Schizosaccharomyces pombe: one gene and its partners. The protein of the gene in region 1 binds, or shares a complex with, the protein of each later gene. Each region holds a gene or a part of one and is shown on either strand. Other genes may lie near its edges. The genes, in order: mrpl1, mrpl28 and mrpl31.

Evidence for each region.
Region 2: mrpl1 (region 1) and mrpl28 share a complex: the UniProt entries of both Schizosaccharomyces pombe proteins name them as parts of the mitochondrial large ribosomal subunit.
Region 3: mrpl1 (region 1) and mrpl31 share a complex: the UniProt entries of both Schizosaccharomyces pombe proteins name them as parts of the mitochondrial large ribosomal subunit.

Annotation. Positions count from the first base shown.
Region 1 is NC_003424.3:1,790,775-1,794,487, reverse strand, and holds mrpl1 (mitochondrial 54S ribosomal protein uL1m), read left to right. Parts: upstream 1-2,036; 5' UTR 2,037-2,244; coding exon 2,245-3,006; 3' UTR 3,007-3,088; downstream 3,089-3,713. Other genes in the region: poly(A)-binding protein Crp79, read left to right, coding at 1-465, 537-1,895; protein saf5, read right to left, coding at 3,210-3,713. UniProt on the Schizosaccharomyces pombe protein: Component of the mitochondrial ribosome (mitoribosome), a dedicated translation machinery responsible for the synthesis of mitochondrial genome-encoded proteins, including at least some of the essential transmembrane subunits of the mitochondrial respiratory chain.
Region 2 is NC_003424.3:2,667,695-2,670,868, reverse strand, and holds mrpl28 (mitochondrial 54S ribosomal protein mL40), read right to left. Parts: upstream 1,219-3,174; 5' UTR 1,057-1,218; coding exon 700-1,056; 3' UTR 501-699; downstream 1-500. Other genes in the region: Brix domain-containing protein Rpf1, read left to right, coding at 1-340; mrps12 (mitochondrial 37S ribosomal protein uS12m), read left to right, coding at 2,047-2,535. UniProt on the Schizosaccharomyces pombe protein: Involved in mitochondrial genome encoded proteins translation.
Region 3 is NC_003421.2:886,474-889,844, forward strand, and holds mrpl31 (mitochondrial 54S ribosomal protein mL60), read left to right. Parts: upstream 1-2,112; 5' UTR 2,113-2,384; coding exon 2,385-2,732; 3' UTR 2,733-2,822; downstream 2,823-3,371. Other genes in the region: TIM23 translocase complex subunit Tim23, read right to left, coding at 1-260; oca8 (cytochrome b5), read right to left, coding at 933-1,082, 1,169-1,260, 1,767-1,914; ubiquitin hydrolase Ubp1, read right to left, coding at 2,964-3,371. UniProt on the Schizosaccharomyces pombe protein: Component of the mitochondrial ribosome (mitoribosome), a dedicated translation machinery responsible for the synthesis of mitochondrial genome-encoded proteins, including at least some of the essential transmembrane subunits of the mitochondrial respiratory chain.

The DNA of each region.
Region 1 (3,713 bases):
GCAAGAGTCGTAAATCCTGCGAAACTGACAGACAAAAAATTCAAACCTAACGATACGTCAATCACTGCGAACGTGTTCAATCCTAGCATCCAAAACAATACAGATGAGGAAAACGTTAAGCCAGGACTCAAACAGTCTCAGATTAAGGAATTTATTCCAAATGTCGAAGAAAGAAATTGGGAAACTGTGAGAGGCATAAATTCGCGTAACCCGAAGCCAGAAACAACGCTTACCATACCGTCTCTTGGTTTGGAAGATATTAGCATGCAAGTTGTACCAAATGCCTTCGCTTCTACGTTACCCCTTAGTATCTTGAACCTACCTGCCGAAGTCACACCGATTGACTTATATAACCACTTTAAACAGGCTGGTGTAGTAAAAGGGACGGCGGTCAGCCAGTTTCTTGACCAAAGAGGGTTCCGGTATGGCGAAGTGATTATGGATTCAGTTGAATCATGTCAAAATGTAAGCTCAATATGAAGAGAAAACCCCAATATTTGCATAATCTATTTCATGATACTAACCTCATTATTAAGGCAATAGAAAAATTAAATAACGTTCCATACAAAGGAAGCATTTTAGAGGTCAGTATAAAAAATAAAGCCTCTTCTTCAGTGAAGTCAATTCCCACAACGCCGACTGGTGAAAGCTTATGGCCTTTCCCATCGGAAAACGCTAACAAAACTCAAATAAATATCGAAAATGCTACATGTTCGAAGATGACATGGATTATGGGCTCACCAACTAAGGAGAAAAGCCAATGGGGTAGCGTTTCAACTACCGGTGTTTCAAATCAGCAAAATCATCCAGCCGCTTGGAACCCAGATAATAAACCTCAGTCAATCGTGCATTGGGACTCTTTACGTGAAAGCTCTCCAAGTATCCCTAATTCTCCTATTGACCCTTCAAATCTATACGTTAAAAATTTAGATGATACCGTCATCACATGCAAGAGTCAGCTGGAAGATTTATTCTCACCCTTCGGGTCGATTTTGTCTTCCATGTTAGCATGCTATCCAAATTCAGGAATCTCCAAAGGTTATGGTTTCGTAGCGTTTCGTCAAATAGAGGCTGCCGTTAGAGCCAAAGACACATTGAATGGAATGATGGTTGGGAAAAAAAGGATTTTCGTTTGCTTCGCGGAGCGAAAGTCTGACAGAATTCGTAGATTGCAAGCATTTTTTGCAAACAAACCTACTTCAGAACAAACAGCGCAGCAAGACAACAAAGCTTTGTTCGTCAAACCAGAAAGAAGCTCTACTGTTACCATCCGAAAGCCAATAGAGTCTTCTACAAACAAAATCTCTGAGAATCCCACGACCCTTTCAAGTAAGGTTGAAAATAAGAATGAGCCTAAGACTGGTGAAAACAAAGAACCCAGTCAGACAAATGAATATGTTAACTGTAAGCAAGAAAATAAGGAACTTAGTGGACAGTTATCAGGCAACTTGGATATAAAGAAAGAAGCAGGAAAATTGAGCCATGACGGAGAACAAGGAAACTTGTTAAAACCATTGGTATTCCATGCTAACACAAAACTAAATAACCGAGGGTCTGCTAAGATGGGTTCAACAGCCACCAACTTGAAGAAGATACAAGACATGCTTCACAACAAAAAGCTGAGTAATGCATACTTTGTGCCAAGAGCAAGAGCAACAACCTGTACAACTCTTACGTACGTAACAGTTGAGCCCTCACATTTCCAAGATGAGGACTGTAATGAGTCAACGAACATGCTTTCACTTGTCGGGTACATGGACAGCTATCCAGAAGCTACATCCAATATCCAAAAAATGAATTCCTATCATATTAAAGATTCAAATAAGGAAAATTTTTTATCAACAACAAAGGTTAACAACAATTCACCAACAACTATTCAGTTGACGCAGATTTAACAAGATGCGGTGAAGATATAACTATGAAACAAAATTCATAATGCTATATCCCTCAAAACTCCGATGAACAAACTTTTAACTCCTTAAAATATATACATCGTGAACGGATGGATTTGCTAGTATAACCCTACAGTATCTTACAACTACCACAACGTGGAATTTAAACGAAACCGTTTATTTTTAGTCTTTAATCAAAAACATTATAAGGAAATTTGATTTGAAAGATAATTCTTTATTAATTCGAAAGTTGACAGCTGGATCAGATTTGTTTAGAGATTTATGATTTTAGCAGGTTCATTGACTGACATCCAGTAGCTTGGTGACAGTTTGACGAACCAGATTAAAAACCATGAGTTCATTAATAGCGTTAGGTAAACGGCAAACATTATTGTCACATAATGAATTTTTAAATTTTAAAAATCAAAAGGGTTTCTGCAAAAGGTTTATTTCTCAACTAAACAAGAAATCCAATTTTCCCGCTCTTGCGATGACAGTTCCTGAAGCCACAAAATATCTCAAATCTGTGAGCATTTCTGTTCCATATGTTGGGTCTTATATGCTTTCAATTGCTTTAAAAAGTAATCGACGCGCTCCGTCAGCTCGTGGTCAAATTGCCTTTCCTCATCCATTTCAAGAGCCTCCTAAAATTTGTGTGTTTGCTAAAGGTGCAGCTGCAGATGAAGCTTTAAAATTGGGTGCAACCTATGTTGGTGCAGAAGACTTAGTAAAAAAAATTCAAACAGAGCCCCTTGAATTTTCAAAGTGCTTTGCTCATCCCAACTCGGCAGAATTACTACCACAAGTTGCTAAATTATTAGGATCAAAACGTCTTATGCCTTCAATAAAACGAGGTACTATATCAGATGAATTGAAGCCACTCATTGAATCTGCCCTCACAGCTGTTGACTATCGGCAAAATGATGCAGGCTCGATAAATTTGCCGGTTGGAAAACTAGGGTTCAGCGACAAGGAGCTACAAGAAAACATCGAAGCACTTGTATCAAATGTTCGGTTTACTTTGGCCAAACTGCCTGGAAAAGTTAAAGTTACCGTAAAGCATGTTCATCTTTCCGCCTCACATGCTATTGCAATTCCTCTCCAGTATAAATAATGATTAAAATGTTATTGCATGGGAAATTTAGTCTACAGTCTTGTCATTTGTAATATGTATTACATGATTAATTTTGTACAAATTAGTGAAATGTGTAATGATATTTTATCTAGTAAATTTAGAAGCCTGTTTATATTTATTTATTATCATAAACTACTTTTTAAAAAGTATGAATGAAACGTTAGAATACAACATTATGAAAGTTACTCTGTGCGATGCCATTTCAGAACAGGCGATTCCGGAGAATCAAATCTGTTATCACAAGCTGAGGTATCTACGTTTTCAGCCGTAACCCACTGGTGATTTGGATCAAAAAATAAGGACATAGGGTTTCCCATACTCGCGTTTTCAACATCATTATCTGAGGAAAAAGTGTCCGGATGTAGAGATTGGCAAGTACAAAGAGCCTGGTAACATGAATCAACATCAGTAACATATAATGTTAGTTCTAAAAAATCATCTGTGAATTCATTTTCATCTTCGGTAGAAGGAGCTTCATGCAATGTTCCTGACGACCGTTCAAATTTAAGAATGTGATCTAGCAAGGGTCGAATGGCTTCACCCTCTAATTGAACATATACATATGGCTTATCCTTGCTTTGTTTCGCATGAAGAGTAATGGTTTCATATGGAATTTTCCAGCCAGAATTCTGTTCTTCATCAAAAAGGATAAAGCTCTGTGAAGTTACTAATAAAGTTATCAATTT
Region 2 (3,174 bases), 880 kb from region 1:
TATTCCAGAACTGATAATCAACAATTTCTCAACGAGACTTGGTATGACTGTTGCTCGAGCCTTTCAATCATTATTTATTCAAACGCCTCAAATTCAAGGGCGACAAGTTGTTACCATCCATTGTCAAAGAGATTTTCTTTTTTTTCGAAGACACCGTTATGCATTTCGTGAAAAATCGAATATGCCAGATGGTATTGGAACTGGGCTACAAGAATTAGGTCCTCGATTTACCATGCGTCTTCGTATGGTTCAAAAAGGAGTATGGGATAGGAAAGAAGGGGAGGTTTTCTTCGAGAGCAATGCCGGTGAAGAATCAGATAGACGTAAATTCTGGCTTTAAAGACATTTTGTCTCATCTGCGACACGTTGTAAAAAGAAAACAGTGTTTGGGTCATATTTTATTGTTTTCGAGGTAGGGTTTGGGTTTGGTAACAATTCTAAATTTTTGGTTAAAAAAGAAAGCATGGCCTTTCATTTTGTATCATTCGTTTACGGTGAAATTGGGAATGAATAATATGATACATGTAGACTAGAAACTAGGAGACATAATTCTTTAATTCAATTATTGGTTTATTTAAAAATCCTAATTAGATTATACTTGCTCGTAATTAGTGATACATTTTTTTATATACTTGAACTTGTCTATAACACTTTCGAGCACTACCGAAGATATTAATTATACTCATAAAAGGCGCTCGCCTATTTAGAAAGCCGTGGTGGTGTGTCCGTAGGAGTCCTCGTTTCTACGGGGAACCTCCTGTTAATTGAATCGCTCATTGCGGCTTTATATAATGTTTCACTCGTATGCTTCAGTTCCTCGCAAGCAATTTTCATTGCAGAGAATTGGTTTTTTAGAAGATTCTCTCTTTGTTTTTCTTGTCGATATTCGTGTATACGCCAAGCGCGATTAATAACTTCGTGTTTTTCCCACATGTCTGGATTCATTTTCAAAGACCTGACTTTTTTATTTCCGTAAAGAGCTTTTCTAACCAAATCGATTGACTCACTATGATTAGAAGGACCAGATTGGTGCTTTCCCTTTGAGGCCTTAGCCATTAATTGTAACGTAGAACGCATCTGCCAAAAAACTTTTCAACACAAACTAAAGTACTCCTTGAATTTTTTCACGTTGATAGAAAAAAATTTAATTTTCAAAAGTATTAACATAAAACCTTCCTTTAAAAGCTAAAAAACCTGAGTAGAGAAAAATGCGGTAGTAGTAAACGTGTTCAGTGGTATGAAGCTAATTAAGAGAGTAAGTCGTGATACACTAGGAAAAGCCACCAGTACGATATTTCAAAAAAAGAAGTGTTTCATCAAATCCCCTTCAATTTCACACACTGATAAAAAAAATATAGATTATAATTCGGAGTTCATTTAATTGTTTCTGAATTTTCAGTAGCTAAGCCAAACAAAGCATATGCATTTATGGAGATATGTAACCAAACGAAGACATTTAACAAGTAGAAAATATTAAGTTTTAAGTCAAAGCTTTATATGGAGTAGGCCTGATGCTCAATTTTTCTGCTAAGTTTCATGTAAGTAGTCAAACACATTGATAAATCCATATCAGTGTTTAAAGTTTTAATGAATGGATAAGTTATTGTAATAAATACTATCATCAACTGAAAATGGCATGGCAAAACGAAGCTTAAACCTCAATACAATCTACTTCCAGTACGTTTTTCAGTAGAAGTCATGAATTAAGTTGATTTTTTCAGCTTAACACTGTACTGTAAATTTGTCGATTAGCATACCTACATTCTGCATCTGTTTTAGACTAGTCCATTAAAGTTCAATTCCTAGAGGAAAAAATATTTAATACGCTAGTTATACCCAAAAATGTTTGTCAAAATATAAAAGAATAAATTTTTGTATCCCATCGAATAATATGAATGCTGCGAGATATTCTATTCCAAGGCAATATACATACACTAACACCAAACCAGCGACGTTCGGGTACAAACTTCGGAATTCCTTGCTCAAGCATCTATTATAGTGATTTTTGAGATTTTATACAGCTCAAATATTAAATTTCCCCAAATAATGATCCGTTTTGCTCAATATGCTCGATATCCGGTAATTTCAAGGTTGATGAAGCCAACAGTTATTTCACCATTTCAGGCTCAAGCGTTTTCTAGCTCTTCAGTTATGTTAAAGACATTAAATCAAACGATAAGAAATAAAGAGAAACGTCCTGAAAAAACAAATAAGCAATCTGTTGCTTTAGAGGGAAGTCCGTTTCGACGGGGTGTGTGCACGAGGGTCTTTACAGTAAAACCCAAAAAACCTAATTCGGCAGTAAGAAAGGTTGCCCGTGTACGCCTTTCAACCGGCCGTTCTGTTACTGCTTACATTCCAGGTATCGGTCATAATGCACAGGAGCATGCTGTGGTATTGTTAAGAGGCGGCAGAGCACAGGATTGTCCAGGAGTCCAATATCATGTTGTTCGGGGTGTCTATGACATTGCTGGTGTAGCGGGACGTGTCACATCCCGAAGCAAGTATGGAGTAAAAAAACCGAAAGCAGCCTAAACTTCATGACCTCAAAGACTTTCTTTTTCGAAAACCATGATATTCAGAAACGTTATCTTTATAATTATTCCACCTCCTCTTTTGATATCGATTCACAAGGACCTTATTAAAATGACTGAAACAAAAATTTAAATGAGAAAAAAGTTGAGTCAACCCATTTGTCATTTCTCGCAACCTTGCTTCTTGTTGCAACTATACATATTCAATAATCATTTACTCTTGCATGTTTAATAAGCAATTTTTTAGTTGAACTACATCCCCTTTAAACATACAATCATCAAAAAAAGGTAAAAAAGATTGTGTAATTAGGCAATTTCCAGTTATCTAAAAAATTAGCAAATAGATAATCCTTTTGGTTAAAATTTAACCAAATCTATCTAAACAATGATTTATTAAAATGAGGAGGATTTTCTTTTGAGAAATCCTTTTGGAAAGTTTTCTACTTTTTTGATATAAGCTCTTTAAATAAATTTTAAACTTGAGACGCTTTCAATTTTTAATTTGTTCAATTTGGTTTTACTACCGTGCTATTTAATTTTTAACTCTTGAATAAAGTATAAAAAACACCTTTTGGGTGTTGGAAAACGCTTTCCGGTTCTTATTTATATAGTATGCAGTATTGCTAGCACAACTTCACCG
Region 3 (3,371 bases), on another chromosome or scaffold:
GTACCGTAACAAAGATCATCTTGCCATCCGCGAGATGGGATAGCCATGCTATCGCCTGGAAGAGTAGAAAGAGCATCTTCCTCAATCAATAAGTAATCCAGAGGTTTATCTAAATCAGCGAGGGGATGTAACTTGGCGGGATCGAATTCAGAACCCGATAAAATATCTGAGGCTGTAGCCTCGGTAGGGACCTGCAATTCAGAAGAATCAATCTTTGAGGTTGGTTCCTCTTCTTTATTTCTTGTAAACAACCAAGACATATCTTAAAAAGTTGATTTTTCGCAAAGGCGCGATGGTGGTTGTCTGCAGGTAGCGGTGGTTACAGGAACTGTGTATTAGCACCTAAATTAAAATAGTAGAAAAAAATTGTTGAGACGTAAAAAGTGTCGCAATTATCATGAATTTACATTTATATATAAAAAAAAAGACTTAATGAATAAATCCTCGATCGTTAAATAACGCCCGAACTTATTTACTCGATCACCGCTTAAAATTCTAGACAAGTTGGGCATAGGTCCATCGATAAAACAATAGAATAGAAGAAACTATAAAACTTTTTTTTATGAGAGAACAAACAACGAAAATACAAAAAATATAACACTAAGTATTATCAATTATACAGTTACGCAAAGCAAGCATAAGACCGTTGTGAATTAAATTTACGTCCAGACAAATCAAAGGTCTCTATTAATATTAATATGCCATTCACATTAAGAGCCAAACCAAAGCGTGTTAAAGGAATACATTGAATCCGTAAATATCCTAAGTACGAACAGGTAAAGAAAGCTAAAGTAGATATCTAACAACAACAAAAAACGAAACTTGCTAGCTCAAAATCACAAAACCATATTCAGCACATTTAAACGACCCAAAACGAAAGAAGGCCTTTAAATTTCTTTGAGCGCAAAAGTAAGACTGGGAATTTAAGCAGTCTATTTGAGGACATACTTGCGAAAAGCAAAGTAAGCAACAACCATCACAAGGACAAAGAGCCACATAGCAGGCTTAACTGGTTGAGAAGAATCATATCCACTTCCACCAGCGGCAGCACCAGTTGTGGGAAGCTGAGGGCCATCTTCAGTCTAAAATATGTTAGAGTGTCGAAGCAAATTTTTACAAAAATTTTAACGAGCCTATGGCGAACGAAGAGAAAAAATAAATGACATACTCTGAGCAAGTTTCCAATGTAAAATTTTTCGAGCAACTCCTGAGCATCCTCAGAGTGACCAACATCCTCGAAAGGACCGCTAGCATCACGACCTAAAACAAGTTAATAATCACAGAAACGAACAAAAAAAAGCCCCTAGCGATGGTAGAGAAAGGCAGAAACTTTGTATAGCCAATCCAAAAGCCGTATGTGAAGAATCGAAGCGATATCGTCAATCAATCTTTCCAAAATTATGTATTTCAGTGTATTCAGAGTACTGGAAATACAAAACATCGAGTAGAGAGCGATCAATCTTGGAACATATAGACTGTACTTAACAATTCACCTTCAATGACAATGTCGCATTAAACATCGTATTTATTCAGGATATCGCATCTATTTTTGTACGTTCCTACGGCAAAGATTCGTCCTGAATCTTTCAAATTAAAGAACATGTGTATATGCGACACCTAAACTCTCGTGAAATTCAAAGTTTTGTAACGCTAGTTGTCTGAAACTTCGATTTCTACGACTCCACACAATCGCGACCAATTTTTATGCATTACAACCAATCTTCCTCAAGACCTCCATTATCGCGTACCCCTAAAAATTTACTTACCGGCCAAATCAACAAGAACCTCTTCACCACCAGGGTGAGCGTCAAGGAACTTGGAAATATCATACACCTTGTCTTTTACAACAATGTACAAATCATCACGAGTGTTATGTTTTAACACTTCTTCAACAGTAATTGTCTTCTCTGCCATGATCAAGTTCTGCTTATTCTTCCTTAAAGGTGGTATTTAACGGTTATAACCCAGGAGCTAATTACTCTCGAGATGTTGGTTGCAAATGCCCTATCGCGATTTATCTAGCAGGTGGGAAGTAGAAATGAGCCGATTCTTACTGGCAGGTGGTCACGTGGATTCGAGTTGGAAGGTACACCCAAGGATATGAACTTACCCAAAACCTATATCATTCTTCAGTTAACCAACTCCACCATTTTGGAGGTGTAGTGTTTATATTTGAATGGCAATATAATATTTAAATCAATTTAGGACGCTAATCAAGTTAATTTTTGTTCACATCTTTGCTGTTTCGTTGGAGCCGTAAACTACTTTGTGACAAACCATCAACTACTCAGAATTTGTCTATCACCCAAAAACTTAACAAAAAATTTTTATTTGCTCTTTTTGATCCAACCTTCTTCCTCTCCTTTTGATTTTATACGAAAAATATGCTGGGTGCATTTAACTCGACTTTGGCTCGCTTTGGCGGTCTTGTTCATAAAGTACCTTGGAGATTATCCCAGCGAAGAAAATATCGTCACCGTCAACGACTTCGTGCCGTCGATGAGGTGGTAGATGTTTTGCGCACGGCGTTGCAAGAGAAAAATCAATCGTGCAAACGAATTGAAAGTTTCGTTGCTAACCATCAGCCTGAATCCCAAATGTCACCAAAGGATAAATACACTATGTTTACCAGGAAGACTCAAGGTGCCGGTCTCCAAGGCTTCCGCAAGGGTGTCCATAAATCACCAAAATGGACCCGTAGTACTAATCGTGTTAATCCCACTGGCTTTTAAAAACGTCTGGTTGCAAAAGTTTACTACTTTTTTTTTCATAATTTTAATGCTCTATGAATAATAAATGTAATGGATTATTTTAATAGCTTATTTTATTACTTTTTTATTGCAAAAACTCCCACCTCTTCCTCGTCTTCGTTCATATTCAATTTCCAGTTTCATACATATTCAAACAAACGACATTAGCCTTTAGTTAGAGTAAAGTTCATATCACCTCTATTATACGTCTCTTTAATTCTTTGCTCTGTAAAACAATACATAAGCAGACGATGTGACAATATCCTCCGGATCTATTTCACAAATAGCTGTATCATCAAACTTAAAGAATGTTTGGCTCGATGCATCTCTTGCATAGGCAGTATAATGACCATTACTCATAAACCCGTGATGATTGTCCACTGCATACAAATCGTAAAGCATCGATTTCTGTGACGATAGCCACTCATGATCTTTTATAAATGGACTCAAAAATTGCTTCAAATTGAGATCAAATACTGGATAAACTACTAAATCCCTTCGTTTACGTCTTCTCCGCAAATCTCCACCGTGGCCGCTGAATCGATTTAAATGAATGACTAGTATTTTTGGCAATCGCCAGATCTCCAGCCGTTTTGTTGCCGGTCGAAATGCCTTACACCC